Linked DNA regions of Drosophila melanogaster. The protein of the gene in region 2 interacts with the protein of the main gene of each other region in a pairwise test. Each region holds a gene or a part of one and is shown on either strand. Other genes may lie near its edges.

Evidence for each region.
Region 1: the proteins of CG31523 (region 2) and mgl interact in a two-hybrid assay, tested with the Drosophila melanogaster proteins (one large-scale study listed by BioGRID).
Region 3: the proteins of CG31523 (region 2) and peg interact in a two-hybrid assay, tested with the Drosophila melanogaster proteins (one large-scale study listed by BioGRID).
Region 4: the proteins of CG31523 (region 2) and CG33258 interact in a two-hybrid assay, tested with the Drosophila melanogaster proteins (one large-scale study listed by BioGRID).

What each region holds. Positions count from the first base shown.
Region 1 is NC_004354.4:9,494,636-9,503,173, forward strand, and holds the start of mgl (megalin), read right to left. Parts: upstream 5,495-8,538; 5' UTR 5,239-5,494; intron 1,555-5,238; exon of another isoform or gene 1,341-1,554; intron 1,265-1,340; exon of another isoform or gene 1,039-1,264; intron 1-1,038.
Region 2 is NT_033777.3:4,474,412-4,483,011, forward strand, and holds the start of CG31523 (uncharacterized protein), read right to left. Parts: upstream 4,797-8,600; 5' UTR 4,651-4,796; exon of another isoform or gene 4,222-4,650; intron 1,016-4,221; exon of another isoform or gene 841-1,015; intron 1-840. Other genes in the region: sac (sterile affecting ciliogenesis), read left to right, coding at 6,408-8,600.
Region 3 is NT_033777.3:21,016,925-21,025,898, forward strand, and holds peg (pegasus), read right to left. Parts: upstream 7,240-8,974; 5' UTR 5,775-7,239; coding exon 5,747-5,774; intron 4,661-5,746; coding exon 4,481-4,660; intron 4,381-4,480; coding exon 4,346-4,380; 3' UTR 4,120-4,345; downstream 1-4,119. Other genes in the region: Rlip (Ral interacting protein), read left to right, coding at 854-950, 1,018-1,150, 1,206-2,090, 2,521-3,283; Dhc93AB (dynein heavy chain at 93AB), read right to left, coding at 8,095-8,259, 8,440-8,572. UniProt on the Drosophila melanogaster protein: Increases short-range diffusion of the wingless/wg protein, enhancing its signaling and expression of target genes required for wing margin morphogenesis. May act as a serine protease inhibitor since it possess the Kazal serine protease inhibitor signature.
Region 4 is NT_037436.4:16,078,861-16,085,869, reverse strand, and holds CG33258 (uncharacterized protein), read right to left. Parts: upstream 3,320-7,009; 5' UTR 3,279-3,319; coding exon 3,146-3,278; intron 3,092-3,145; coding exon 2,781-3,091; intron 2,711-2,780; coding exon 2,396-2,710; 3' UTR 2,232-2,395; downstream 1-2,231. Other genes in the region: CG13075 (uncharacterized protein), read right to left, coding at 692-1,255, 1,310-1,632, 1,702-1,834; Mbs (myosin binding subunit), read right to left, coding at 5,025-5,111.

The DNA.
Region 1 (8,538 bases), on a different chromosome or scaffold from region 2:
ACGAAAGTTCTCAAACAATTTAATCAGCGGCAACAAACAACAAAAACATTTCACACACACACACACATACGCACAGTGCGAACGAGAGGGAAGATATCAAAGGAGGACAGCAAGATGCTGGCTCCCCCACTAAAAAATGCTATAAGATCTGGTTCTAAATGCATTGCCATCGGAAAGGGACGGCGAAACAAGCAAAGGCAATGATACAGAACGAAAGGGGGAAAATCAGTTAGTTCCTGGCGGCGTCAAAGGGTCGGAAAACCCGGAAGGGGGGTGGGGCCAAAGTGGAAAGCGCAGAAAACGCATTCTAACAACAAGCTAGTTGATGAGCGTAAGGGGAATCCCACTAAAGTTACGGGAAGCACAAAACTAAGCATAAAGACAACCACAAGTTAAAAAGAGCCTTTAAGAAGCGACTTGAGGATACCTTTAAAAGATGTTAAAGGATTTCTAAAGGATTTAAAGGATACGCATAACCAACAGCTTTAAAATCTACCCATTATAAATGGCTACTGGAAATCATTCGACAGCTGTTACTAAAATCTTGTATTGGTGTGAAAAAATATTTACTGATTAGTATTCTGTACTCATTAATATTTCGCCTTGACCAGTTGCATGTGGAAAATTCGAGTTGGCTGGCTATAAAAAGAGTTTTTCTTAAAAAGCACAGTGCTTATATATTCGGTAGCTCAAAAGAATGCTGCATACCAAAACTGGCTAATTGAATACGTTCCGAGCCCGAGTTACAGATGGTACAGAAAGTACCAGAGAGTGCCAGTTAGTGCTATTGGATGGGGGGGAGGGGCGGTCGTGTGTGGGGGATTGGGACAACTTAATTTACCGCTCGACCGGCAAGAGACAGCTTCTTCTTTTTCTGGTTCACATGTCTTCGTTTGTCTAAAAAAAAAAATTTCAAACGATTTTCTTCGGTGGTTTTCCACATTTTTGTGTGTGCAACGTAACACGTTTTCCAATTAAAATTACAAGAAAATTGTTTTTCTTTTTTCTGATTTTCTGGTTGTTATTGTTTTTGCTTACCTGTCACTGGCAAAAAGAAGAGCGTAATCCAGACAGAGAGCGAGAGAACGAGCGTGAGCGAGAGAGCAGCATCGTGCGAGAGAGAGAGCAAAAATCCTTGTGCTGGCACTTTTCTTTACAAATTTTCTTAATATATCCTTTTGTTGTTGCTTTCTTCTTGTTGTTGTTGGTGGCAGGCCAATGCAACAGGTAAAATAGAGAAAATATGGAAAAAAAACAGAACCAAAACAGAAACACCGAAAACGAAACAGGCAAAAGGGCAAACACAAAAACAAAAAAAATAAAGAAAACAAAACACAAACTTTGTCAGCACTTGAAAAAAAAATCGTTTTCGTTTCTAATTTTCTCTTTGTTGAACGCGCGCCATTTTTCTTCTTGCCTTTCTTCGAGAAGGTTTTTTCTTAAATAGACTCTTTTGTAATTATTTAAATTAAATTGCTGTTGTTTTTTTTTTTATTTTGCTGGCGAGAGCCGCGGTTTTCGAACTGCGACGGCGCGCCTTTGGAAACCAACTGAAAAAAAAAACACAGCAATCAGAGAGCGAGAGAGGATGAGAGAAAGAGCGAGAGAGAGAGCGGCGACGTCAGCGCGAGACACGTATGTCGTTTAAGTCTTTCGTTTTGGTCGTTCTTGTTCTTGCTGCTGCTGCGTTGGCGCAAGCGAGAGAGAGAGAGAGAGGGAGAGAGAGCTGAATTTCAGGTGTGGCAACCGGCAAAATCACAAAAAAAATCTTATTTTATCCAAGTACACAAGAGACAGAGCGAACGATGGAACGACACGGGGCGAAACATCATTATGACCTGTCCAGAACTTAATGAGAACAGAGTTTTACATATGAAGACTACTTGTTTCTGGTTTTTGCATATTGGTTTTCGGCCTATATATATATATGTAGCTTAGAGATATACTATGTATGCAAGGCAGAGCCTAAGAATATAACTCCATCAATCGGAATTGAAATAACTAATTAGAAGAATCAGAAAGCTAACAGAAGCACTTTTATCTATTCAAAACGAAAACGTAGTCATAATATCGTTGGAGTTTCATACCTTTTTACTACCAAATCGTTTGATTGTTAAATGGAACGCAATTTATTTTATTGTCTAATGTAAAAGATAAGTTATCAACAAATTACATTGATGGATAATCTTTGAAGTAACACGTGTCACAAGAAATGTGATTTAAAATATTAAAATAAAAATGAAATGAAATGACTTGAAACATTTAACATATATGCAGGTTCCTTTAATCACCCCACTACAGAAACTGGAAATTTTTGAATAATCCCAATAAAATTGATCTGTGAAAAGATCTCTTGTGGTTTGTAGATTCGTGGTAGATTTGTTATAGATTTGTAATAGTTTTAGGCGCATGGCATGGATCGGATTCTTGGCTCTGTTTCTTCTCTTCTTATCTCTCTCACTGGCTCTCTGTTGAAAATCGGGTCGCTGCTTAGTTATTCCGCACAGGTGTGAGTGTGTCTGTAGGTGTGTGCGTGATACCTGTTTGTCCGCACACACACACACACATACGTACACAAACAGAAGAAACAGTCATCATCATCGTCTAAGCCAAGTTGCCTCTTTTCACCTTTCCTTTGGCCATTCAATTCCGCTCTCGCTCTCCCTCTCGTCCCCTCTCTTTCGCGCCCGCCTTCATCGGGCGGGAGTGGGAGGGAGAGGGCTAATGTCGCAAGTAGCCGAGATTCGATTCTTCTTCTACGCTGCCTTTTGAGCTCGCTTCCTAATCCATTAACATTTCTCTATCCCTCTCTCCCTTTCTCCTACTCTCTTTCTCGCTCTGTCTCTTTAGCCCTGTCTTCTTCCTCTTCTTCGCCTTCTATGGGCTCGGATAATTCTTCTTCTATCTTCACCATTAAATGATGACGACGCACTCGCAAGAGAAGAAAAACCCAATAAAAAAAAAAAATAATAAATAAGTCCGACTTCAAAGACTTTTATTAAAATTCAATCAATCAATCGCAAAAATGACAGTTCGATCTTCGCAATGATGAATGGATGGTTTTGAATCTAAAATCTTTGCCTTATCACCCACACTCTCATAATTATTTATCTATTTAAATATGCCATCGTTCAAAAATTTCCATAAATATACATTTTATTATTCCGTTTTTAAATTTTTTTTATTTTACAAAAGTACGTACGTATATACGATTCTGTATTATCGTATTACCCTATATAAAATAGTCACATAAATACCTATATTTATGATTCATGATTTAAAAGTGAATTAAAACACGTTTTAGCAAAATGAAATCATCTTCAAGCAAGATCATACCGTGATTTTGTATACTTCTGAAGAAGAGATCTGATTAAAACGTCAGTGATAAAAGGGCTTATTCTAGACGCCGAAAACCCATCAAAATTGATGACCAATGTTGGTGACAGATAATTTCTTTGTGCGACGTTGGCCATATAAATAATGTGTGTATTTTTTATTTATTTACTTTTTTTTTGCCACGCTCAACGATCAGCAGCGACAACAATTTAGAAAATTAGTTGCACACTCAACGAAACTCGTTCCATTGGCTTTCTAACCGGCAATGAGGCAAGCAGATCAGCGGTACAGTTGGCGGGGCGGCTAAGGGGGCTTAATTTTTGTAAGCGGCCGGGGGGGGGGGGGTGTGTTGGTGTTTCGATGGGGGCTTACAAGGGGGTGGCGAGTGGGCCAACTCTCCCATTACATCTGCATATGTGGCATGCAATTGGATCTGCCTGGCATATTCCAGATTGCCATTCAATTCGATTTGTGTTGTGTGGAGTAAGCGAAAAGCGAAGGAAAAAACCGAGAGCCGACATGGTGAATTCTCGAGCGGGGTAACCAGTTAAAAATGGGAGCTAGAGCTGGCCTCCAGTTACTGGCGGGGGGGGCGATAACTGGCGTGGAATATCTTCGAAATTGCTCGATGTCTCGTATTCATATGCATTAACAACCGCTGCTTGCTAGAACTTGCGAATCTCTCAAGTTCCAGAAACCAACAATTTCATAGATATTATCACACCAGCTGGTTAACTTTTTTAACTGTTCCTATGTTAAATTACTAATCTATGTCAATTTGAAACCGTATTTGGGTATATTTAATATGCTGAACTGAAGACACTTCGTGAAATCTTTGAAAACTATTGTTTACTCTCAAGTTTACAGTTTTCAATGAAGTTATTATGCGTGTTTGAACTTGAACTATCATGCTGTCACTTCCGATTTCGTCAATTGTTTTCGTTACCAATTCATTTTTTTTTTTTTTTTTCGTTGGCAACACCTCTGGCCAATTTGCTCGCCTGGACTTTTCCAAGCCAGTCAAATTTGCACTCGAAGTGGAAAACTTTCGACTGTGAGTGTTTCGGTCGGTTGTTGTGGCAAATATATAAATTTGTGAAATTGTCAGTGCCACAAGCAGAGATGATTTACCGCCCCGGGGGCTATGCCAGCGACTCATTTATCAAGCAAAAAATAAAGAAACCCGAAAATGAAGAGAGTTCTAAGTTGCGACTGGGAAACTTTCACCGGGTGTCGTTTCAACGCGGTGCGGCAATAAAAGGGGGGAGGGGGGACCACATTTTTTTTTGCAACTCTCGCACTTGAGAATCTCGGCCGGGGAATGGGGGGAAATGCTAGCAAATCATATTTTTGGTGAGGGCGGGATTGGCGGTTGGGGGTGTGGGATTTAGTTGGTCTCAAAGTCTCTGGGCTTTATCCTGGCCAAGCCGAGTCATAAACAAATACGGTTTGCTGCTGTTTTGTTTACATTCGCAGTGTTTGGTGCCCACCGACCGACGTCTTTTGGCCAGGGGTCTTTTGGTCTCTTGGCCAGACTGGTTTTTCTCCGGCCAAAAAAGGAAGTTGCTCGTAAAGTGGCGAAAGCCGCCAACTGACTGACCCAACAACAAAGTGTGCAAAATAAAAATTGCAAGAAGAAAAATCGTTAAATAAAATAATAAAAGCGCTTTCTTTCTGTCTGCCCCTTTTGTTTTTTCTTTGTGTGTGTGTTGTGTGTTTGTTTTCTTTCTATAAATTTTTGCGGTCTGCGTTTCTTCGATTCAACTATTTTCCATATTTTTCTATTTGATATTTTGGCAATTTTGGCGATTTTCACTGATTGGTTTTTAATTTTTGCATTTTTCGGTTTCTGTTGGTGGCACAGCAAAAAAAAAAAAAAGGGAAGAAGATCGAAATATTTACCGCCGCACTCACTCGAAAAAAAAACTCGTAACACTCAATTGGAATTTAATCGGCAGGTTGGCCTTTCTTTCTTTCTTTCTATCTTTCAGTTTACTGTTGTTGTCGGCTCCGATATTCTTGTCACTCTGTTCTGGCTGCCCACACGCTGGACGTATCTGTTGTGGGCCTGGGATTCGGGTTCGGATCAGAGTCACTATCGCACTGTCACTACAGTTGGTTACTTATTAGCCGCGCTGGCTGACCGTTCACGACGACGCTCCGCGAGCGACTGACCAGCGGATGCTAGCGCAGCCCACTCGCCGCCCAACCAAAACCGAAGGCATCGAACCTTCGAACCATCGAACCATCGAACATGTTGCGTTGCAGCCGCTACTCACAGGCAGTGCGACTTCAAACAGAGGCGCCGCTTTCGAGAGCGAAAGAATTGCATTGGTATGCTCATGACTGCCCAAGGAGCTTGCTTCATCATCAAACCAATTCATTATTATTATTTAGTTCTTATTATTGAGATTATTGTACATACTTAATAGCAAGTAATAGTTCTACTAAAATGCTAGCTTCATTTTATTTGAGAACTCCGCAGCTTCGGAGTGCACATTTCTTTGTTCTCTGCTCTGCGTTTAAGTTCTAATACTATTTAGTTACGCTGCAATTCCTAATAGCCCCCATCTACACCTCTGATGCAACATCGATTCCATGGCAAGGCTATGTTCGAGCGTGCAACATGCAGCATGTTGTGTTTTCATTCGAACAATTGTTGCTGCCACAGTGCGTGTTGGTGGTTCTAATTGACAGTTTTCCAGAACAACTTGTTGAGCTTATTGTTGTCTTAATGGGGTGCTTATCTACACCTGCCACCCCCCCCCCTCCCAGACTTTTGCTTGCCTCGCGGATTATTGGAGGACAATTCCACCCCCCCCCCCCCCCACGTCACACTCTTACACTCTCTCTATCTCACTCTCTGTCCGGGTAAATTGACGATTTGAATATTTACATAAACGATTCTGATTACAATTGAATTTATTATTTAGAGCAGCTACTTAAGCCGCTAAGTCGTTGGGTACATAGGACATACATACATACATACATACATGCATATGTGTATTCATTTGTCGGCTGTCGCTTGACAAATGATACCTTTTCATGGAACTTTTATTTGTTTATTTTGCTTTCTGGAAGGCACAATCTGCGGCACGCCGAGAATATTGAGTAAACACACAATTGCTGCTTGCCACGTGCAACGTGCTCGATGCTGGCAGCGAACGCGGTTCGAGTTGCAAGCCCCTTCAACAGGTTGCCAGGTTGCTCTACGAAAATAATGTAAGCTCCTTTACAAGTCCGTACGAAAATTAATTCAATACTCGGCTAAAAATAAACGCACTTGTTCTCAAGTACAAGCTTACACTCACACACATATGAAACGGAACCTAAGTAAATCCCATTGTTTTGGTTTTAGAACTGAGCAGGAGAATTTTGAAGAAGTTCTTCAATATTTACTCCCAAGAATTCGAGTGTATCCAAACTATTCGAATAGGGCCTTCTTCCGCGAAAAAAATCGCTTTAATTGCAGAGCAAGTCAGTCACCAGCCAAATGAACAGCTGTTTCGGCTCCTAAAAACTTTTGCCTGACCGCCTGCTGGCCGTTCCGCATTCTTGGAAGCGGAATTGAACAATTTGAGATTTTCGAAGGGGAAAAGCTGTTTCGCCTATCAGGTGGCCAAGTAGAAAGATATATACATTTCCAATCCAGTGCTGCGGAGACATCACCGAACGCTCTACGAGCTATAGGAAAATTCTCTATTGCGTCTTAATGGATTCACAAAACATTCTCGTTTAGACATATTTCGCAGTGAAAGGTGATAGGGCCAAGAAAAACAATTGGCCGAAACCGAAATGCGAAGTAAACTTTTCATGCACAAAAACCAAAGCGTGCAATTCTTATATTTATATTTACCCAGAGATTCTCGCGCGTTTTATGACGAGGGTCATTTGGGGAAAGCGTGACCCGGCCGAAAATAAACAAAATAAATTTATTAACCATCTCCAAAGTTTAAACAGCCGTAGAGCATGTTCTCGAGTGGGGGGCAGTGCGCCAAGGTTGCACACTTGATCGCAATTCAAATAAATGACTGGCTTACACAAATTATATGCGAACTTATTAACTTAAGCCAATACATCAAAATATGTTTAAATATTATATCAAAAATAATAAAGTTTTTATTTCAAGAAATTCCCCACCAACCATAACATTTCCTAAGTTATTTATTGAATAATCAGAAACCACGTAGATATTAACTATACGTACTAATCGTGTTGTTAATCTCGAAATTGGTTTAACTATTGTTCCGGATATGTAACTGGATGCAACGGATATGATATAAGGTAAATTATTTGGGTGAGCCCAAGTGCATGTGAGTAATTGGAAAAGTTTGACACGTTAACACGACACAAGTTGGTTAACTGATGTTATATTTTTTCAACAAGCTATTTTCCACGTAACCCAGGGGAAAAATAACCTTTGCTTAGCAAAAAAAACGGAAATCCGTTTAAAAATAAAGCTTAAACGACCACAGCTTTTAGCCAGCATTTCACTCTGGTTTATTGGTTTAAGCCAAAATAAACCTATAATATCGACTTTTAACAGCTTCAAAAAGCTAACACTTTTAAGCTTTAAGCTTTTGCAGAAAGCAGTGTTACTGTGACTTGGGAAAGTGACCGTTAAAAGCTTTTCTATTTCCTTCAACAACTTCTGTTAAGCCAAAAGAGCTTTTCCGAAAAATGTTACACCAATGTTAATGTAAGGAAATCGTTTTCTTTATTTAATCATTGTATTCTTAAGTCTACTGTAAGTAATCGTTTTAATTAGTAATTTTAATTTCTGTTGTGGATTCCATTCCGCGTCTCCTGCGTTTTTGCTTTCTTACTTTTCTTTTCTTTTTTTTTGTTACTTTTGCTTTAGTTTAGTAATAATATTCATTATAAGATACGAGTAATCTCAAACACAATAGAGACAGTTACAGAGCGACACACACATTTTAATTATATTATTATTGCTAAGACACAAGAAATAACGATTTTGAAATAAATGCTAACAAAAAAAAAATTAGAAAGAGTGCCAGCCCGGTTTTTTTTTTCAAACCGTGCCTTTCCAAAATTTCTTCTTTTGTGGTTTGCTTATTTTGAATATAAGGATTGTGGTTCACGATTATTTATTTGGCGGGTACAATAGATTTACAAATGGAGTTTTATGAGATTCTGGAAAACCTTTTGCTAAATACAATAATTTCCCTCGAATTTCTG
Region 2 (8,600 bases):
CTTCACATATAGCATTTCGAAATTCTATTTTTTCAATAGTTTTGGTCAAAAGATTTTTAATCAACAATACATTTTTTATACTTCTTTAAGACACGCATTGACTCGTTGCAAATTTTTCTACTGTAGCGCATATGGTTTCAAAATTGAAGTGTACTGATGCTCTACAAAAGGTATTGTATTTTTTAAAAATAATTAAATATATAAAATATATACAAATAAAATAACTGCTGACGTTCACACGCTGAACATAAAATCTGATTCTTCTGTGAAGATTTTACCAGTCGACATTATTTAATTAAACAAATAATCTTTAGAAAGGGTAAATTTTGTATAATATACTTTCATTGTCAAATGAAAAATCTTTTTTTTTTGACAATTACTTTCTGCGTAACATTCGTTTAGCAATTTTTCGTAGGTTAAGGGTGGACTATATTTGTATTTATATATTTAGAACGTCGAAGGGATTTCTTCGGTATGCCAAAAACTTTTCAAAACTGAATCATCAAGAATTTTGTGAATGTATTTGAAATCGTTTTATATTATCATTTGTCTTGCTTATTTCTATCTGATAGGCGATTAGCTCCCTTATTATTTTTTTCTGTTCTCGTTAAATTTACCAGCTATATATAAAACCTAATCAAAAATATGGGGTTAAAGGGAGAAATGAAGAAAATCGTAACTATAAGTTAGCTGCCTTATAAGCGGTTGGCTGGAGCCAGAAACAGTGCTATCGGCATTAATTAATTGGGGGTTAAAGTCCTTCCATATTGTGATATTGTGCGGAGATAGATTGCGATATCTGTTTCGTTTTGCGAATTTTATAAGTATTTTCTTAGATACCTTAGATACCTGGGTTTTGTTGTTTTGTTTTCTGTTTGTTTTGTATATCGTAATATTGTATTTGCGAAGGTGTTATTATCTTCCGTCCTCGTTGTTAAAAAATAAATATTAATTTATTTAAATGACGAAATTTCGAAAATCGCGGCGATGCTTTTTGAATTGTGTGAGTGCTCGTCTTGAAAATATCGAGTCAGGCCACACAAGACACTTGGGATTCCGATCTCCTCGCAAGCAAATAAAGGCGGCGGCCCTCGATCACTGGCTTGGATCGCCAGAAGCGTGGTCGGATATATTGAAACGAAAGCGCAAGTGAATCGCGCGGACCGCTCCCACCTGACGACCTCAGGTCGGCTGGCCGATTAATGTGTGTGCACTTGTAATTTGTTTGGCTGCTCGGGAAGGTCAGACCCCACGGAAAACCGACCGAGCTGCTGAAACACACGATGAAAGTTTCCATCGCAGGGCCGCACTGCATTAATGGCATTTAAATACATCGATGTGTAATTATGCACATGCATAGTTCCCAAAGCATAGGTTACGGGTGTCAGGAATGGAGGTTTTGTTTATTGTTTTATTGCGACTCTGCCTCGGGCATTCTAAATTGAGGAGAAGCCGCTGAGATCGAGGGGTCGACTTACATAACACTGGCGTGGTAAGTTTTCCAAAAATACGTAAAACCCGACAAAAACAATGAAAGAAAAAACAAAAAACAAAAAACGCACAAAGAAAGGCTGGGGAAAATGAGAGAGAGACAACAGCAAGCGACAGAGAAAAACTGTCCGAATCTTTGGGTAAATGAAATTAATGTGCGAAATGTATACGAGTAGGTCCCGTCAATGTCGAAAAAAGAAACGGGAAAGAAAGCCGGCTTCGACTAGCCGAAGTTTGTGTACCCTTGCAGACGGTCAATGGGTATCTATCGGTAATATTGTAATATTAATGATGTTATTTGCTGGAAAGGTGAGTACATGGTACTTATAGCTTTTTACTTCTTTTTAAATAACATATATAGTTACATTTACCAAAAGATATCAAAGTGCTCTTTTATTTCGAAAATTCGTATGCATTGCATCTCTTCTACAATATTTTGTTTAACCATGCAGGATAAAGGCGATTTACCATTTTGAGGTAAATTCTTAGAGCACCATTACTCGTAAAGTATAGCCTAGTAGATTCGTTGGGAAGTATGTATGTAACACTTCTATCGATATGCCAAAATAATATTAAAGATTCTCGCTTAAACATCTACTAGCTGACTAACAGGCAAGGAACTCGACCATACAGTTCTCATTTGGTATTTAAATATAATTCATAAGATATCATTATTAGGCAAAGGCTGTATAAACTAATAACTGTAAAAATAATACTTTTAAAATTAAATACTGGCTGCATTGCCAGACATCACAGTCGCTAGTCAACTTTTCCCTTTGGAATTATAATCCTTATATTGGCGTATTATGATCATTATATATTTCAAGATATAGGTTATATCGACCGCTATATCAAATCTTTTGTTACTTAAGGGCTCTGGAGCCTAAGTATGCCAAAAGCATTTAATAAACTTTTATCATAGACTTGCCTCCTAACCGAACGATAGCTGGATTCGCATTACCATCATGAATTGGATCTGTCCATCTCACCGCCGATAACGGCACATTTGTCTTTATAGCACCGCAACAGGTGGTGAGGCTAGTTCTCTTGACTCTGACGATGCTGTCACTGTCCATCGAATGATTATGCCCACGATGTGTTAACCCCGAATGGTACGAAGATCGTGGCCAAGCATCTCAGTCTCAGACGAGAGTCTCAGGGGCCAGAGAACCCGTACGATGTCATTGTTCTTTTCTTTCTCCATAGGACAAACCGGTTAAAAAACTTTCCTCATAATAGCAGAGCCCAAAAGTGCTTATTAAGCATGCGCTGCCAAAACACATATTAGCGAGCACCTATGTACATATAAACCAGAGGACTAATACATGCGATCTCTATAACCAAGATCTCATGGACTTTGGCCGAATTTTTATGTTGGCCCGAATAATTTCAGATTGCTTGTGGGTGTGACTGATACAGCCAGCCGATTGTATAGCTCCTCTCTTCTGAGAAAATCGAAGCCCGGCAATGAGACACAATCTTGAGATTTGCCGTGTAAACGCGAATGAATATTTGGATTTGATGTGTTTTCTGAGCAATCTAAGCAGATAATGTGTTTACTGAGTCTAAGCCAGTCGCGCCAGCCAAATAACTATACGCGAGGGCCAAGGTGCAAAGCGATCAATTAGCACTTTAGCACTGCATTGTTGCAATCTATTTGCGAAAGCCCTTGACTCTACGTAGCTCCAGGTTCGCTTTTCTGACCACCGGCCAGCGGTAATTGATGCCGCACCACATTCTCCAGGTGATACATACATATGCATACATACATACATACATACACACATACACACATACATAAATTTCTGATCGAAGTATTTAGCGCACTCGTTGGCTGACCCTAAAAACCTGAAAAAATGCGAATGCAACTACATTTCTCGACGTTTCCGCATTCGGCGGACAGGTGAAACTTTTTGATTGACTGACATAGGCGGCACACCACTGCACTCCTTACCCAACAAAGGTACACAGTAGACAATGAAGACAGCGAAATGCGTTCGGCTATTTAATACTATTTAAAGTCAGTTCTCAGGATAAGGAATTAGCTGCTATACCTAAGCTGCTGCTAAAATACTTCTCATACGGAAGAAGTTGTACCACTAAAAAGAAGAAATATTCTATGTATTCGAAGTAGCATAGAAGTACCTACTGCTAATACCCGCATTCCTCAAATAATGAATTTTTTTATCTCGATTGGGAAACAATGGTCAACAATATAATTTCCATTGTTATCAACAAAATTTACTTAATATAAAATTGTATTGAATAAGTGATTCATGAATTACAGTTGTAGACCGAAAGGGTCAATTGTTTTTTACACTTCATAGAACCAGATTAATCCAATAAACAATATTTAATTCATTAAAGTACGAATAGGTTACCAGAGAATCTATGAAAACAAGTCTGGGCAATCCTTTGGAATAATAATTCATCCCTCTCACGAAGGGCACCCACGCCCCTGTGCGCTCTCTCTTAGCCACCGACACGTGTGAGCTCTTTTGCTCTTTTAGTTGGCTGTTGCTTCACGGCGACTCTCTTCGGCATCGCCTACTGACGCTGCCGCTGCGAATGGGCGTGGCGGGAAGCAGAGCAAGAAACAGTGGACTACCGCCACTTTTTTAATTAAACCATGAACAAACAGGCAATGGCGGTGATGACTAATATCACCGAATCGCAAGGCGAGGGTGGGGAGCAGCTGGAAAATGCTTTCGCGGCTGTGGCGATACTCACCTGCGAGGTATGGTGTGGAAGGGGGGGGGGGGGGTCGAGCGGCGATTGGAATGGAAGAGGAATCCCGAGTGCACACACACAAATGCACTTGTGCACGGCCACAAATACACACTCGCGAAGGAGAACGAACGCAAGTGTAAAGGGCCCGCGCTTTTGGGAATTGAACAATCGACTAGTTTCAGCTTGGGCTGGCTGCCGATGCTTTTGATACTGAAACTTCGATACCGCGGGCTGCGATGCCGATGGCTATGGCGATGGCTACAAACAACAGCAACGCCAACAAAAGACACACACAAACACCGCGTTGGATCTCACCGCACATAAAATATATCCGACAACATATCGTAACGGACTTCACCATGCAGAAAATGCGATCTAGCCCAATAAAACTATATGCGCTTCCAAAAAAATATATTAATATCGAATTACTTCTTAGTCAACTAGCCATATCTTTCGGATTTCTTGGGAAACGACGACGCGAGTGAAATCGTTCAGCAACAAAGAGAGCGCGTTTTGCCAGTCGCTTAAATATATTTTTGTACAAAACGGTCTCGCAACTTCGAACATGTTAGATTGGGTTGGCAGCAACTAAGCAGAATGTTGGCACGAGTGTTGCCGTTTTAGCATTTTTAAAGCTCGACTTAGGTTATTTGAAGCCCGCAAGGACTGTGATAGGGATTACAGATTAAATAATATTGTGCGTAAAATCTTTGTGATTTGATAACCTGCATAGAAGGTACCAAGGAAACAGAAAAATAATATGGATCGTCGCGACTATACCCGTATACCCTCAGCCAAATGAAATGCAAAAGCATAAATTGACTGCGAGGGGAATACTTTTCACAGGCCGTTAATATTCTTTGAACTTGTAGTTAACTTTAAATAAAGGTTTCTGTGGCAGGATTGTAATTTTTGGCATGTTTAATTCTACACTAAATTAACTATTTGATTTATTTGATTTCTTTACCAAATAATTTGAGCTAGACATAATCTAGTTCTGGCTGTTCCGTTTCTAGATAATCTAGATCTGGCTATGGAAAATCTAAAAAGGCTGAACTGAGACGAGGCAAAATGATCTTTGTGGATTCCGTTCCGGAAAGAGTGACCGAATTTCGAGAATTCGGTACTTATCGATATTATCGGAACCCATTATTTAGCATTGTCATCATAAAAACGATATTTAGAGAATGTAGAATGTTAAATGTTTTTTAATATTTCTTGTAATCAAAACAAGATCGAGTTCCCCTACTTTAAAAGTCCTGTTACTCAAGTCGTATACTAAGTGCGAATGAGAAATTCCAACATTCTTTTAGCAGATCGAAGGAAATTTAAAAAACAAAATAAACTATTTAAAAAATTTTTCAAAAGCGTGGGAGTTTTGGGCGGTTTGTTGGTGTTATAAGGGACGAAAAACAGACAAAAGTCAGAGGGTTCCTCGACTTTGCGAGCGAGATGTTGCAAAATGGTATATCTATAGAAATTCGCATTACTGCGAGCGAGATGTTGCAAAATGGTATATCTATAGAAATTCGCATTACAATCAAATTACTTTGTAATTGTGACAGTGAAAGTCTCGTGAAGTCTTGCGTGTTAGCGTCGTAGTTTGGGGCGGCTTGTTGGCCTGTTCAAGAATATTATATTTTATAGAGTCGGAAATGCTTCTTTTTACCTTTATCGAATTTAGTAAAACCTTTTACGGCAAAAAAAATAATTCTCATAAAAGTGCGCTAAATAATAAAAAATGAATAAACAACAACGGAAGCTTGAAATTGAAATTAAAGATTGTTCAAAATTAAAAAAATGTAGTAAAAAATGTATACCAAATTAAACGACCAAATTTTACATTCGATTGTTCATATGGCTATTTCGACTCGGTTGTTCATACTGATCAAGAAAGTATAAAGTGAGCTTTATATGGTCGCAAATGCCTCATTCACTGCGATGCAAACACCTTACTGAAGTCAATGTATCCTTTTGGAAATAAAATAGTTTACATATAATTTAATAAAAATATTAAATATTGCTGAGACCGCCATATTCACATTAATTTTATAAAATCGAATTTTTTGGTTTAATTTGACTAAACAGCAGTAATTAATGCTCGGGCTTTGTAACAATCAACAAATACACTGCTTTGAAAGGAACGCCACTTTCTCATTTAAATCCACTTTAACAATATATTTCATATGGATCCGGAGAACTTAGAGGTGGGACAAAATTATGAAGGTTCCCAGGAATTCGATGAGAGCAGCACCAGCTCAATTAGCAACAAGGGCCCGGATGACAGTCAATTCAAGCGTGAGGCTGAGAAAGCTATTTGCATCATGCCGCCCCGACCGGGAACGACTATGATGAACTATCAGGAGCTATATATTCCGCGGAATCAGCTTACTGATGTATATTACCCCATTCAGGAGGCCCAACGATGGCTCACTCTGATGGACAAGATGGGCAAGGCACACCGTTTTCCGCTGCCCACGATCCTGCCGAAAGTGATCCAGACCCGCTACGTGCCAAAGCGGCATCTTCCAAAGGACGTCGAAGTGGATCGGAGGCGTCGTCAGTACCAGAAGATTAACTTGGTGAATGAGCTGGCCAAGGCGGGCCTCACTGACGACGTGCTGCAGCCCACCGAGGAGCAGTATAATGTAATGTCCGAGTTCGCCTTCCCACACAAGTTTCCCCTGAGCTACTTCGACGACAGCAACTTTGACATCAACTCTCCGGCGGCCTGGTTTGAGCTGGGAGTTGTCGGAGATGCGCACTACCCGCTTCCGGCGAAGGCGTACCTGCCTTACAACCAAAGCCTGCTGAACTGCCAGTGGGGCATGGCAGCTGTTACCGCGCACCACGAGGACTCCGACCTCTGGACGCTTCTATCGCTGGAGGACGGATGCACCTACACGGTACCCAAGCTTCAGTTCATGTTCATGGCTGAGGACCCGCACAAGTACATCAAGCGGCTGCAGGCCGCTGTTCACGAGCGGCACAAGGGGGAGCAGCTTATGTTGATGGAGCTGATCGTGGATTGTGTCCTGCACGAGGACATTGAGTCCACCGTGTTTTATAGCTTTAAGCCCATCGAATCGGTCCTGCAGGCGGCTAAGGTGTCTGAGCAGTGCAAAAGACGACTACGCTCCGAGGTGAACTTGGTGTTCGAGCGCCTAATGGCCCTATACGAGCTGGAGCAGTTTATCCTTAAGATGCCCAAGGAATTTCCCCAGTTTCGGAACATCAACCTCAAGGAATTTCTGCCCCGGTCTTTCGCCGTGGACGTCTCCGGGAAGGAGCGTCTTGAACTGCAGGCCCTTGGCATAACCATGCAGGAGAAGCGGTACGACTACCTGAAGGCCAGTCTGTTTTATTGCGTCGGTGGCATCGAGGCCATGGCCGGAGTGGCCATCGAGTGCCAGTACATCGAAACACTTTCGATCTTCATCTGCAGCTTTAGCAAGCCCCTGGCGCTAGTGGACTTCCTGCAAGCGCAGGAGGCGCATAGCGACAACGTGGCCACGTTTCTTAAAGTCTATTGGCCGCAACAGCTGACAACGGTCATCACCGTGGTCCTCCGAGCCCTGGGAAAGGGCTGGCTGGACATCTCCCTCAACACCTGGACGGTCTATCTCATGTGCAAGATCTCGCGGTTTATACTGCAGGTCAAGTTCCGTATGCAAGAGTCAATGGAGGTGCTGCTCGAGACGTCGCTGATGAACTTCTCGCATTTCGTTTGCGACCCCTGCCTGCAATTCCTTGAACTGAAGTCCAACTACAAGTGGACCAATAACTACATCGACACCGAGTTCCCCTTTCAAAAACCTGTATTCGCCATGACCCTTGGCATCAGCGAGGATCGCAAGGTGTTTTACTCCACTGACCCGGATGAGTTCCAGCCGGGGCTGGTCGAGATCTTTAAGAAGTGCCTGGAGAAATCGTCTGGAGTAAGATGCATTGATGGGTCTGTCATGAGTTTTTTGAAGTTCGCCCCTAACCTGTATATCCTGACGGTGGAGCTTATCGAGGATAGGTTCCTGAGGGAGAATGAGCTTCTGAAGAACTGCTACGCCAAGGCGGTGCTGCCTCTCAGGGCGTACGCCCGACTCTACGAGAGATTCATCGACTTTTACCTTCTCAATGTAAACACCTATATGCAGGCATATGCTCAAGCCCACAAGCCGTCCTCGGAGGTAAAGCGGGACATTCTGGAAAACAAGCGATTGAAGGAGGAACTGCGCGAAATCCTGCCTGCCTTTATTACTATTGGACCGTTTTACATAAACGTGGATACAATGAAGCAGTTCATGATAAAGAAGCGCATTGAAGTCGTGAGACGGATATTCGAGTACTATGTGGACCGAATGTATGAGACGAATGAGGTTTTG
Region 3 (8,974 bases), about 17 Mb from region 2:
TAAGCGATGCACCGCGGGATTGATTGGTCGTGAAATAATTATACTGATTAACTTATTTGCTACACAACCGCCTACTCGTAAAGTAAAAAGAATGCAAAAGGTATAAGGAAGCGTTTCCGTACCAATTAAGAACATTGTATCGCAAACTTATTAATTTTTATATATATACATATATATATATGAATATTACTTAAACTAATAAACGAATAGTTTTTTTTCATCGCTGTATTCTGGTTTCGGTTTCTGGGAGTTTAGAAGTTAACAAACCGCCTTATAGTTTTACAGCCCCACCCTGAAAAAATGGTTTGATTTAGTTTTATTTTATAAATAGTCTTGGCAATTTGTATACTTGTGAAAAAACATTTTCACCACGCCCACACTAGCGCGCACAATTAACAAAATCCTGTAGTTACAGAGGTGGTACTCTTGTCATTTTGGAAGTTTTATGTATTATGTAGTTTATGTATATATATAAAAAATATTTTCTTAGAATTTAAATTATTTAAAATATTATTATTATTATATTATATATTAACACATATTTATTTATTTATTTATTATATATATATATATATATATATATTAATATTATAAAAATTTAAGAGTTAGTAGCTGATCGCATTTCTGATAGTTGAGGAACTCGACTGTAGCGTTTTCTCTTGTTTCAATTTGCCTTTTTTTAAATATCTACACCGTTACTACATATTTTTTACATGACACAGTAGCGCCATCTGTGCACTTATCAGTGTTGGATAGCAGCGGCGACTTCGATTAAGCAATCGATTATTTGTTGCATATGTTGTTTACGGCAATTGTTTATATTTATTTACTGCTGGTGAAGTGATTATTCGTGATGGATTTTGACAGTCCCGAGGAGAAGGAGTTTCCCGGGCTGTACGCCTCCGAGGCGGCGGACGCTAAGTCGAGGAAGAGCAAGGAGGAGAGCGACTGTGAGTGGAGCGCAAAGATGTGGGCGTAAGCTGGGAAAAAATCAATGGGCTCACCTTGCCTTTACAGTTAGTGAGGATCACGACCATAGCAAGAAGGACTTGTTGATTGGCCGGCGCAAGGACAAGAAGGAAAAGGGCAAGGATCGAGGATACGCCGCTCTGGAGGGCGAGAGCTCGCCGGAGGAGGAGCTGGACACCAAGTGGGTGCAGGTCAGCTGACCCAGAGACAAGTAATATTTTTTCTTTTACTTCCAGAAGTCCATCCAAGTCGAAAAAGTCAAAGACCTTTAAGTTCACCAGCTCCAAGAGCAAGGAGAAGCGGGAAAAGTCGCGGGACAAGTCTGAAAAAGACTCGAAGCACGCAGAGGAGGAGCCTTCCGTCTCCCACAAGGTCAAGGAGAAAGAGCGGGATAAGGAGAAGGACCGTGATGAGCCCAAGAAGAAGGACAAGGAGGAGAAGCGCAAGGAAAAGGACAAGAAGGCTGACAAGAAGGACAAAAAGGATAAGAAGAGCAAGCAGCTGTCGCAGCAGCAGGACGACGTCTCCGCCGCGGAGGAAGTGCTGGCACTTGGGTATCCCGTCTTTGGGGTGTCCGTTAGCTTGGCGACCGAACGATCCCGCTGCCACGACGGCGTGGACATTCCCCTGGTTGTGCGCGACTGCATCGACTTCCTGCAGGATCACCTGAAGTGTGAGCAGATCTACAAGATTGAGCCCATCAAGACGCGTCTGATGCACTTCAAGCGGTTGTACAACAACCGGGAGCACGACTCCGCCGTTGATGAGCTCAACCTGCCTACCGCCTGCAGTCTGCTGAAGCTCTTCCTGCGCGAACTGCCGGAGCCACTGCTGACCACCGATCTGGTGGCCCGCTTTGAGGAGGTAGCCTCTCATCCGAAGGTAACCACGCAGCAGGCAGAGCTGCAGCAGCTGCTTGAACAATTGCCCAAGTGCAATCGCACCCTCTTGGCGTGGGTGCTGCTCCACTTCGACGCGGTGATCCAGCAGGAAAGACACAATAAGCTCAACGCTCAGTCGCTGGCTATGCTGCTCAGTCCGACGCTCCAGATGTCTCACCGACTAATGGTGGCCCTACTCTGCCACTGCAACAACTTGTTCGCGGACGTCCAGCTGATAAAGTGAGCAAACACCGGCTAGCCGGATAACAGTGGTGGGAAATATCCAAGTACCTTTGTGTTGGTAAAAGAGAAGTCCACATTTAACAACTATAGTTAAATCACAAGAACGAATCGAAGTCATAGCTCTGAAGTTAACTACTAAACTGTTAGTTTTAGTAAACTGTTAGTTTCCATATTTATCTAATGATATAAATTGTTTTTTTATATGTATAATAGGTACTTATAAGAACCCAGATAATTCCCACCACTGTTGGCAGTTGATAAGATTGCTGCTATAAAAATCGCCAGATTTAGTCGTTTATTTTGCAACCGACGATGAGCACATTACCCCGTAAACAGAAGCGCTTTCCACGTTTCGCCAGTTTTCTAATCAGGCAGAATGGCACACATTTAAACAAAGTTATCATAATACTAAATTGTCATCTCTTAGGTATGTGCCCCCTTTAACATCGACCAGCCCAAAGCTTCCGGATACGCCGGAGGACATCCAGACGGAGTTGCGCAAGCAGGACAGCCTCCTGTCCCAGATCCACAGCGAGATGAACGCCGGGTTCATTACCAAGAAACGCGAGGAACAGCTGTGGGAAGTGCAGCGCATCATTACCCAGCTGAAGCGGAAACTACGAACTTTTGAGAAGAAACAGGAAAAGACTGCGGAGGAAGTAGACAACAGCAGCAGTGCTCCGCCCGCTGTAGCCAGTGAAGATACCACTGACTCCAAACCAGCTGGAACTCCAGCCGTATCTACGAACAACAGTATTTCCCAGGAAGAGCCAAAAACCGATACACTAACTCCGAAAGATGCTCCTAACGATTTTACTATTGATCCCAGCACTGGCTTTATTTTGCTCCCCAAATCAAATCCGCACCGCGAAAATTTGCTGCGGCTCCAAATTGAATATGACGAGCTAATGGAATGGCAGAACGAACTAAAAGCACGTATCGTCGCCGAGCGCAACGAAGTCTATAGGCTCAAGCAGCTGTACGAGCAGCAGTCAATAAACAGTCAAATGGCCTCCTTGGCCTCGGGATCTCAGGCTCCCCCAGAATCCGACTATGAGCGGATAATCGAGCACTATACACGGGAGAATGCGCTGCTGGAGCACAAGAAGAATATGCTGGGCATGGAACTAAAGGAGGAACGACGGGCCTGTATTGCTCTACAAGTTGAGCTGCGGCTCCAGCAGTTTTAATGTATTAATTCGATTAATGTATTACTTGGATGGGTCAATTTGAGGGATATAACTAAGTTCCTATTCCGGAAACTTAATGGTCACATTTCCAAAGAAACATAAAAGGTCTACTAGGCAATCATAGGAGGTTTCTTAGATTCGTAGAAGACAATTCTATGTCACATATCTAAAATATTCAAATGAATAAACTTGTAAAGTTTTTGATAATTCATTTATCTGCAAACGTAGTCACTGTTCTAAACAGTGTCCTTTGTGAATTGCAATATATGAGAATTTTCAGTTCAGCTTTTAAGGAGATAAAATACTGCTAAAACATAAAACGGATTCCTCATGCCTAAAGTCAGTTTATTGTTTATTTGGAAATGAGCTAGTTTCAGACTTGACCCACCGAAATATATGTATGTATATAGGGTTACCAATTTTAAATCTCAATGTCTACTTGCGATCAAATGCTTTGTTCAAACTATAATTACTGTTAAACGGCGCAAAGCCCCAAAGAAATCTTGTTAGACAACTTTACTGCTTTCAACAATTAAATGAGAAAACAAACTCAAAATTCCCTTTTCTGTACTGAACTATTGCATCGAAATATGTCTCCTCGAAGAATTTTGTAAATGCCGGTAAAGTAGCTGCGTTTGTGTGTGCCGACAATCAAGATCCGATTTTCTAAATCGGTCTGATGACTTAATTCCAATCCGAGAAATACAGGGCACAGATTAGAAGATGTTTAGACGACGGATTGGCTGTTCGCTGGGGTGAAACGGAAATGACATCATCTCATATTACGTCTTGTCAACATTGTGATGGTCAAGGAACCGAGGTGGGCTTTGCGTGTTACGATTACTTTATTTAATATTTATTATTAATAATTTTAGAATACATTATCATTATGCATTACGTTCGGGGCGTGTTTTCTGTATTCCGCTGAAGTACAACTTAAAAATATCACACACAAATACCACGGGGGAAAGATGAGTCCTCCGGAATGCCAAACCGCGTCAACTCGCTCCCCTCCATGATTAAGTTATTTCCGCTGGACTACAGATCAATGGATCCATAGCTCTACGGACACTCCTTGTCGCTGATTTTTTGAAAGTCTAAGGAAGAGCACGGAAAGGGATTTTAATTAATAATCAGTTGTGGATAAAATAAAAAAAAATGTATGGTAGTAATGTGGGTTAATTCCCTTGCACTTACTTGCATTCTGGAGACAATTTTCCGTCTTCATCACGCACAGATTGCGATAGGTCTTGGTGGAGCCCTTGTCGTCCGCAGCGCAAATGGATCGGTACTCCTGCGTGTCGCACTCCATGACGCACTTGGTGCTGGGATCGGGCAGACCGAGGCACTGGACCAGCGAGAGGGCAAGCAGCGCGACTATAAATAGATGGAGGCATCAGACCCAATTAGTTAGGCAGGAGGCGTGCGAAAGAACCACTGCCCGCCAACCGGGCAACCCGCATACAAAGTGCCCTGATCAGCCCATCGCCCATGATATCACCCACAATCACATCCCCACCACATCGCCCATATCCGCCCATCGATTCTCCGCGACGCCAGAGCGTCTGGCAATGCCAACGAATCGGAGTGCCTGACTTTCCTATGGGAGGAGGGGCGATTGACGTACCCTGGAATTAGCGCTGCATACCCAATTAGCCATGCTGGCACGCAACAAAACCAAGTCCCCACTACCCAACTGCGTTGCTGGGGTGTCTAACCCAATGACTCAATCGAAGTATGAAATTTTCCATTCATAGGTTTGCGATTGCATATGAATGAAGTTCATTGGGCCTGTGCAAAATACCCTTCATTGTATTCCGAAATCATTTTCTTTATGTAAGCTATGTTAGTTTTAGTGTCCTTTCACCCGATTTAGCAGTTTAGGGTCTCCACTTTGTGGGTCATTTGCAAGACTCGGAAGCGTTATGAAGATACATTTATTTATGCTGATAAATATGAGTTAAGTTAATAAATGAAAAACTATTGAATTGTATACAATTTAATATATTTTCGGGAAAACCCCTAATATAGTACTTTGAAGAATTAATGAATGCGATTTAAATGTTTTCAAGGAGAGTCGCTCAGTTATGCAATTGAAATTGATTTATTTATTTTTTATTGATAAGAATGCTTTAAATGTTAAACCCTGTGCCAAATGAATTGTATATACACTAGTTTGACCTCGCATTTTTGGCACACATAAAAATTAAATCTAAAGCTTACCAAATTTTCTTAGAAAGGGTCGTAAATATGTTTATTTAACATAAAAATCTTTGGAATTTCTTCAAATTAAACAGAAATGAACCCCCAGGGAAAATAATTATCTTTTAATGACAGAAAATTCCACATAAATCCTGCTTTTCTTTCATCTCACGTCGCGAAATATGATTCAGTGAGCAACGTGAATTTCGGTGTTTCATGTGATCTTTCTAACCAATTAGTTTAAACTATATATGTACTTACTGGCCAACAATACTGCTGAGAGCTTCATGTTGTTACTAGTTGGTTTAGTTTTCGGATTGGCTGTAGGAGTAGTTTTCACTTTATCGATGCGATGGCCAACACTTTGCACAATCGTATTTACTTTGCAAGAACTTTGCGGGTCAGACGAATTAATTATGCCGTGCCTGCGCTTGGTTTCTAGCTGATTAAAATTGTTTTACGATTTCACGATTTATATATATTCAATGGAATATAGACGCCTGATTTGGGGCTTGTCACTGAACTTCAGACACGTGTGTGCGGCAGTGTTTTGGTTCTCGATACGTTGTAGATTAATTCGCGCACGATTCTTTTTCGTTTCTGATTCTAATTCTAATTCTGATTCAGAATGTAGAGCTCGTAACTGAGAATTGAGAATTAAGAACTGAGTACTGAGTACTGAGAACTGAGAACTGAGAACTTAACACTGAGTACTGAGAGCTGAGTACTGAGAATTCAGAATTCCGATTCCGTTCCGATCCGAATCTCTCTATCGGCGAGGCCGCACAGCACGCGTCCAAATGCGAACTGAAACTAAAGCGCCGACCGAAGATATCCTCCAGCCAGCAAAAGCAAAAGTCGAGTGGGCTGGCTAGTCGATTCGATTGACTAACTGACGCGGTGACTCGGTTGACTGATTGATGGCTTGGCGGCTGGACGATGTCCGCTGGGACTGGGATTCGTATCGGATTGGTATTGGTATGCTGGGATGCTCGGATGCTGACCGCTGTTAGATGTTGGTTGGATGCTGGGATGACTGTGCTGTTGCTGTTGCAGATACTTTGATGCAGACAGATTTTGAGTCTGGTTTGGGTTTGGTTTTGGGCTTTGATTTTGGATTTTTTGGGCAGGAGATGGGGCCGGGTTCGGCAATCAATCAATCAGGCCCTGTCCGTCCGACCGGCTATCTGTATCTCGGTATTTGGTATCTGAATCTGTATCTCGGTATCCGTATCTGTATCTGTATCTGCGGCTGTCGTCTGCCGTCGTAGCGCACGAATGATGTCCGACCACACAGTGCCTGTTAGTTTTATAGAATTTTTTCATGCTAAAAAGATTTACGCTCGTGTCGTCGTCTTTAATTTTCTTTTTGTTTCTCCGCACATTTCGCCTGTAGTTGATTTCTGATTTCAGATTGTTTTATTGTGTTTTTTCCTCTGGTATTGGGTATTGGTTATTGGGTATTTTGTATTTTGTATTTTGTATTTGGTATTGGGATGGATGGATGCGGCTGCTGTTAGTTGGGCCGGAATACACCAGATGAAGCGGGGCAGGGCTCCGAAATCGGATGGGTAGATCGGTAGAACGGTGGATCGATGGATCGGTCGGGCCGGTCGTTTGATCGATAACTCTACAGGCAGGTCACGTTGTCGTGGACCAGCTTGTTGTTGCTGCTGGGTTTTTTGAGTTTGAATTATTCATGTATTTATGCAGTCACTAAAAAGTTTGCTCCTCATCGCTGACCGCTGTCAATTGGTTCACGTACCGCTCAATACTGAGATGCTCGCGATGCTTCGAAAATCGTTCAAAATTTCGTCAGCATTTCCGAACAGACTCGGCACACGCTTATCGCAATCTGAGAGCTCTATAGAGCGGGAGAGTCAGGTTGTCGCAGTACAAATAAGACGAAATAAAAATATAAAAGAAAAAAAAAAAAGAAAGCAGGGCAAAAAATATGAAAATTATTTGTTTCAGTTTGCGATGGCCACGAGTTCACTCCACTCAGCAGTGTCTATGAATTTTCTTTGATGCTGCTTCCCCCCAGATACAGATACGTATGTATATTACGCTTGTTATTTATGGATACGCGACGCATTGGATTTAGCATTTCCATTAAGATTTTTGGAATTTTCAGACTTATCAGCTGCCGACTACGCAGGCAGCGTTAAGTCGCATTCGCCACGAAAAAACATTATCAATTGGTGGTATGGTGGTTTCCACGGGGTATTACCTACCGAATGTAAACAATTGCATGGTAAACAAATTAAGTCAAGGCAAAAACAATAAAGTTCTGTTTTACCTATCTGCATTACGAGTATCAATATACCACAATGAATCCCCATTCCAGTCAAAATAAGTTCGGTATTTCTTTTAGGTTTTATGCTAGTGCGCCTAAGGCAAGTCTACTTAGGAGGTGTTTTATTATGAAAACGGTGCACTCTAATAAATAAATCGAAAGTCAAACTTGGAGTCTACGATAAAACTTGGTACATTGGTCTAGCTTATGACTATTATTGTTCTACGTTGTGAACTAGAAAAGAACTACGAAATCGTTTGAACTAAATTAAGTTAGATAACTAAGTTAAGTTAAGCATTAAGCAGTTAGCCATTTAGGTTTGCAAGAGCAGCGCTACGCCGGCCAGGATCCATTTGCCTGGCTTGTCTTTGGTCTTCAGATTCAAGTTGGACACATAGGTGGTGGGGCCTCGGGTGCGGGTCTTGTAGACCGGGCACTCGTACATGTTCCTCAGATCTTGCTTATCTTGGGTGATTGCCTGCGGTACATAGACGAGGTTAAATTGAATCGGATTCGCATTCAGTGTAGTAGAATAATGGAGTGGAATCTAGTTTTCGAATTTATGCCAACATGCGCCAGCAATGAGACGCCACAGATCCGCCCTCGATTCGCCGATTTGCGGATTTTAGCATTTGCCCGATTTGCATTTCCAACTCACCCGAATGTTGATCACCGGCATGGATGGGTAGAGCTCCTTGAGGCGCGACTCCATGATGATACCCTGCTGTATGTCCCACCTGGCGCCCTCCATGAAGATCCCATGCACGCAGCAGCCGTCGCGCGGTGCCGTCCTGCAATTTACAAGATCATCTCAGATGCCGCGACTATAATCGTAGCTATAGATAGCCACAGGTCTAGCCCAGAGCCAACTAAAGGGGGCGGGTGTCGATGCTAATCTCCATGCAGAGATGCATATTAATTCCGACGACGGCGCGACGGATCTCCATTGTTCTCCCACCAGCGTCGCCATGTGAAACGTGGCTGGCGGGGCGCCACTTAATAAGCAATCATCTCATCAGCCGTTCAGCCCATCAGCTCATCAGCCCAATCAGTCGTTGGGTAAATAGACAATTGTAATTTGCGGTCTATTAATAAGTCTCACATATTTATATACCAGTGCTGGTTTAAAATTAGCTCTTATGAAATAGCACTGTGCCTATTTTTAGACACACTCGCTGGCCATTGGCCGCAGC
Region 4 (7,009 bases), on a different chromosome or scaffold from region 2:
CCGGCGGCATGCGAGTCTGTTCGGAATATCATATTCGAGGGGGCATATGTTTGTATCCGTTTGTATATTTAGACTTGCGCTGCCTTGTGTGCGCATCTGTGTGTTTATGTCCAAGTGTTTACGGCCATCAATGTACAGAACTTAACCCATTAATATTAGCTAAGCAGAAGCCACAGCATGCACACACAATATCAAGGTCTCCACTATCGCGAGTTGTCCTCAACATGAAAATTGTGAAAATGCTTTTACTTTTTAGCGTAAATCGATTTGTACATATGTACATACACATACGCATATGACGCGAGATTTTCTAAACGAAACATTCATACGTATTCATTTCTCCGTTTATGGGGTTCCAGCTAATAATCCTATGGTATTTCATGGCATATAGAATGCTAGACATCTCGAGGCTTTTTCAAACTGCATGCGCACCAGCAAAAAGTGAGTTCCATTAGATGATGATTAATACTGCCTAAGATCATGATCTTCATGTTAGTCATGTTTAAAGCCAGTTATATCCCAAGAACGATTTAACACCAATGACGAATTTCAAATGTATCGTATTTATTATTTCGGACCTATTAAATGCCTATCAAAGATTGTTTACAAATATATATCGCTTTATTATTTTAGAAGGTTTGTAAAAACCATATTATTGCTTTAATTAGAAAACTGGCGGAAAATCGTTTGCTTAAGGAGTAGGAGTAGTCGTAGAAGTTGTTGAGGTAGACTGTGTGGATGATTCCGTAGAAGAAGACTGCGTGGTGGAAGCAGTCGTGGAAGAAGACTCGGTGGAGGATTCCGTAGATGAAGAAGCCGACGAGGACGCAGTCGTTGGTGTAGATTCCGTTGATGAGGAAGCTGTGGATGAAGCAGTCGTTGATGAAGACTCGGAGGAGGACTCAGTTGAAGAAGCAGTCGATGAAGAATCAGAGGGCGACTGAGTCGTTGTATCCGAGCAGCTGGTCGGCCTGGTTGTCACACATGAGCTGGTGGTTGAATCAAAGAACGGCGTGGAGGCGCCGCAAGTCATATAGAGGGCAACCCAGGTGGTTCCAGATTTCTGGCAGTACAGGTAGCTGTTGCACGTGGAGTCATCGGTTATTCTGGTAAAGAAGTAACTAGGATTGGTACTAGGCTCGCCAGCATTGCACAAATCCTCTTTCTGCGCAGCACTAGGAGTTGTCGTTGGAGCCACTGTAGTTGTTGTGGTTGGCTGATAAATACTGTTGCTACAGGTGGCATCCAATCCAAGCTATAAGGTATAACATGTTAGTATGAATAATTTTTAAAGTCCAACAAAACCTACAAATTCGGAGGCACAAGACGGTACACAGACGGTTTGATACGTCGACAGAGCATCTATGATACAAATCTCATCTGTGCCGCAATTGTACACACTGCTGGTCAGCACATCGCCGGCGGAGGAGCAGCGGGCATACTGGGTGCTGCTGACACAGGCGTATTTGGCGCCTGAGGAACACACTTCGCACTGAGCTCCATTTCCGCCAGAGCCTCCACACACGTCCAATATGGTCGAATTTACCTCGGAGATCAGAGCACAAACGCTATCAGAATTGGAGCAAACGGTGCCCGAAGGACATTCGATAATATCTCCAACTGGACCATTTTCTGAGGTAAGAAATAGAATGTTTACATGAAAGGACTTTAGGTATTAAAGGACTACGGTCCAGGACTTACTCATGCAATTCTGATAGCTGTTCTGATCAACGCAGTACACATCGTTTTGCTCCAGACAAGTCTGACATGACTGAGCTGCCACGAACGATAGTCCACACGCCATGATGGCCACCAAAGCGATTATCCTCTGCATGTTCCTGCCAAAGTTTTTACACCTTTTCGGTAGTGCTGCTCAACCTGAACGATTTACTGATATGATCCCAACCACCCATCTGCCGTCTTATATAGCGGAGGAGCTCACTATGCATTAACCTTCAATTGTTTATGGGTTGATAATATTGTTTGTCAGATTTCGTTGTCTATGCCTGCCAAAAGTCTATCATCATAAAGTAATATTGAAGCGATCTAAATGACAGCAACATGCTTTTTAATTTTACGTACTTCATACCGGGAAATGCGGTTCATAAAGTGTAATCGTACATATGTATATGGTATTTTTGAAGGTCTATTGACATTTCTGTTACCGTTTGAGTCATGTCTTTTCGAAATACATTCTTTCTTTATAAAATCTGAAGTTTAAACTTTTATTTCTATTTTTTGTAACTTGCTTTATTTTTCAATACACAGCGCACACATATGTTAGTAGCAGTTATTATAAACGAACAAAACATGTTTTCCAAATCCCATAATATTTTATATATATTTAAAAGTAGTGGTATGCAAGTATGTTTTGCAAATTATTTGATAAGTCGATTTAGGAGCATCCCGTTGGTTTCGTCGATACGCAAAGGCTGGTCGTAGAATCGAAATATGGCTTGGGTTGGTGGCAGGACAAATAAACAGTGTCCCATTCGGTGGATTCAGTTCTTTCGCAGTAGAGATAAGTGTGGCAGGAAGTATCCTCCTTGTAGATCGTAAAGAAGTACAAGGTTTCCTTAGGTATTTGAAGATCTTTTTCAGCTTCAGTACAGGCACTATTTTTCTGCTCTGTACTGGGTGTGACAGTTGTCGGTGCTGCGGTAGTTGTTGTCGTGTATTCACTGTTGCTGCAAGTGGCTCTCACGTCGAGCTGCAAAAAACAAAACAAAAAAAAAAAAGGACTAGAACACAACATAATTAAGTTACCCAGGAATACCTACAAAATCGAGGACACAAGAAGGCGTACATATGTTGTCGTACTTTTCCAGTGCTTCCGAACTGCAAATCTCATCAGTATCGCAGTCATAGATGTTTGAGTCGACCACAACCGATTCGGAACATCTCGCAAATTGATTTTTGCTAACACAAGTATATTTCTGATTTGTGCATGTTGCACATTGGTTTCCACCGGAGGTTCCACAGACATCGACTTCAGATTCTGCTAGATCAGAGCTTTTCACACAAACATTTTTCGAGTTTGTGCAAACCGTATCGTCGGGGCAGCTTATCACGTTGCCAAAAGGCTTGCTTTCTAAATGAAATCTTTTCAGAACTAAGTACTGCCGGAACTTAATTTTAAACTTACTGATGCAATTCCTATAGGAAGTTTGGTCTACACAATACACATCGTTATCCTCTAGGCACTCCTGGCACTCTAATGCCTTCACAATAGCTAGACCACAAAAAACTATGGCCAAAATCAGGAGAGTTCGCTTCATTTTCCAAAGGATTTCCAGTAGATTCCCTGGTAAAAACTCAAAATAGTTTGACGTTTTCGTTCAATGCACTTCCAGTCTTATATAGCTAGGAAATGCAACTTTTAGTGACGTTTTTATGGCAAATCTGATAGTATTGTTTGTCAGATTTGGTTACACCTGTAAATTTACATCAATAAAGTAATATTAAAAGCTTTTCGACGCTGAAAAGGGCGGACTTGTAAGTAACAATACATTTCACACATTTGCTAACTTAAATCATGAATCATGAATGATAACATAAACACGATCTTCAGATTTGTGGATTATTATTTACAAGACGAAGAATAACAAACAAAAAACAACAAGTACCAAATAAATTTCTCATGTGAACCTTAAGGTTGATCTTATCAACAAATAAATAAAAAACACGAAATGCAGACTATAAAAGATATACGTTGAGTAAAAGATATCACCTTCACAAGAATTGGCAGCATGTTATCAACGCGAAAATAAGTAAAACTCCGAGAAACACCTTAGTGCCCATTCATCCATGGAAAGTCGAAAGGAAAACAACGTGGATTTGCTTGCGATCACATTTATTAAGTTTCGTATTTGAATCAAATTTTCATAAATATTTTCTCACACAATTTTACATATTACACAATTCACGTTCTTATGGTTGTTTATGCTTGATTATCGTTTCCATTTACGAGTAACACAAAATCTCTTAGGCGAATTTAATAAATAACAGAAATATGCATATGCGTATGATCATTTGTTTCGTTATAAGCGAAAGTAAAATATAGTACGATGTAAATGTATATAATACGTTTCGAAGTGAAGGAGAGAACTAAAAGTGTCTGCTTATCTTAACGTACTCAAATAACAATATAATAGAAATAATTGGGCATACGCAGTGATGAACCCATCCCGATCTATAGGATAGCGCCATGGAGCTTTTGCGAAATTGTCTCCTCAGTTGAAGGGTATACTATATATGTAGCTACTATAGCTTTTGATGGTATCACCGATGCCTTTATCTGTGCAGCACTAAAAACAATTACAATTGGATGATAATGATTACACTTAGTAAGTTGACGCGTGGGCTGGTTTCGACACATCTCCGGAGTCTCATGAACTGGCGGTCTGGATCCTCGATGATATTACACATTGACATGTTGAACTTATGATTCTGTTGCTTTAAATATATATGTATTATGTAATGTGTATATATAATTTATATATGAAAAAATATATATATATATATTCATGTATTTATATGTATCATGTAGTTAAACTAATCTGTAATGTAACTAGGGCTCATTTGATGATTATGTTCTCAGTTTGTATGTAAAGGTTTTCGCTTTCCATTTCATTTCTTTTGATCTTCTGATCGTTATACACGTTGCGTATGCTTATGTAAATATAGTTAAGCTTGATTTGTGTAAGTTTATTATTTATAATTTGCTCTATTTTGTATATAAAATTTGACCAAATACATAAGATTTCTTTATATAAAACGAACAAAACAATTCTCAACGATATTTGAAACATGGTTTCACCTAATGCTTAACGGCCTAACACAAATAATAAACAAATTTTGAAATTTTCACGCGAATATCCGGCTTTCGCTTGCATCGGCTTGCTGGCTTTAACATTCATTTTCATTCTTTTTCAGCCTTCTTCCAGCTGGTAACTAAAGTAAAATTGTTGCTTCTCGATGATATAGGTTCTCAGACATACATACACTGAAAGTAAAACATAATTTCATTTACTTAATTTGCTAATTACTCTAATCAACGCGGCGTTCTCCTCCTTCAGGCGATGATTATCCGATTTGTAGGCATCGAGTTGCTGTTGAACGGATGAGATGAAATTCAAATTAGTACAGTTTATAGAGATATCCCAATGGGTAGACGTTTATGGCGGGAGAGGCACAAGTCTTTGAGTTAGATGTGCATGTTGCATGCTTCGTTAATCTATTAGGGATGCGGTAGCCGCAGCCACAGCAGCAACAACAACAGAAACAACAAGAAACAATTAGTAATTACTTAAAAATGGAACTCAGCTGGACGCCCTAATCTCGAGAATAAAACCAGATAGCATGCACTTAACCACAAAACTACACTCGAAACATAGGCGCTTAGATAATTGTCTCTGCGAAATCTGATTCGTGTGATCTTTATGACGAGTGTTTGTGTGCTGTGATAAGCGAGCTATAGACGAAATCGGAATCGATCATATAATGTCTAATGAATCTCATGAATTTGGATGCCTGATGCGAGTGTTCCATAGATATACACCCACCCAATGTGGCGTATTCAAACAATAAACCGCAGTAATCGAATAAGATCGACAGTGAGAAAAATGTTGTTTATTTCATATAGATATATGTATATATATATATATATATAACTCAAAATCGGTCGATGCTCTTTGTGGTTGAAAACACACGGGGGGGTAAACAAAATGGCAGATAAAACTGGTAACAATAGTAACAACAAGAGGTATAAATCCATAGTATAGTTTAATAGACATTATTTAAAGAGTAGAGTATTAAGTAAGTATTGTTTATATGTACATTCAGAGTGTTTCAAAATGTAGGTGGATTGAAAGCAACTTCATAACTTATCCACTTTTTAAAACAATGGTTTAATTCTCTACCTTCTATCCAAATGAAACAAATATATCAATTTTGAAAAGTTTGTCATTTCCAACCATTCTCCATCAGTTTGAAACACTCCATGTTACAGTTATAGCTAAATATATTTTATTATATTCTTCATATGTAGTATGTGTATAAAAACAAAACAACAGCCAGCTCATAATATTGGGGGCGCAGGTTCATAGAATGGCTCAATTGAGTGTCAGTGGTGGGGCATTTACCGTTAAGCATCCAGCATCACCAACTAGACCACTTCGCTCTCCCCGATGATCGACTGTGGGAGACCCTATATGAAGACTCCAGATCCTTGGCCCGCTAATCGCCGATGCTGTTTTTTTTTCTTCTCTTTTTTTTTTTTGGTGGTGGGGACTTGATGTTTGATCTCGTTGGTTTCGATGAGCTTTATTTTGATTTGAGAGTGGGCTAACTTTTGATTTACAAATACTTATCAACCGTACAGTGGTCTGTAGTAACCATATAATATGATTTCAAATTAGAAACAATTGCACCTAGCGATTTTCGTAGATTACCAAAAACGAACAAGGCGTGTGATTAATATTTTACTATTAAAAAATTAACTACTTTTGACGATTGCCATTCTATCAAAGGGCCCGTAGTATATAGTAACTCCCAAGGAGTAGTAGTATATAGTATTGTTAAAGTTTTATATTACCAGTGACCAGTCCAAAGCCAATGAGCTCAATGTGAACTTAATTTTAGCTACGATACATTTAGTTATTGTGTTTTCGGTTATGCTTAAATATCCATATAATTTTTTTAACGACATCGAAGTGTGTTTAGTATTGTATTGTAACGAACCAGGAGCAAGAAAAACATCGATGATTATTGGTTATTGATGTTGGCCTGGCAAAAACATCGATGCTTTTCCAGTTCTAATAGAAACGATATAACGATATTCGCGACATTGTGCTTCGTGAGCAAGGGGGCGTGAGAATTTTGGGGTGCATGTGGGCTGGTGCTGGGCAATCTAAATGCTTTTCTGATCTGCGCCTATTTGCTCTTGGCCAGCTGACTCTGAGCCGAGGTGGTCAGCTTGGAGACGACCCGCGTTAGGGCCCGATTCTCG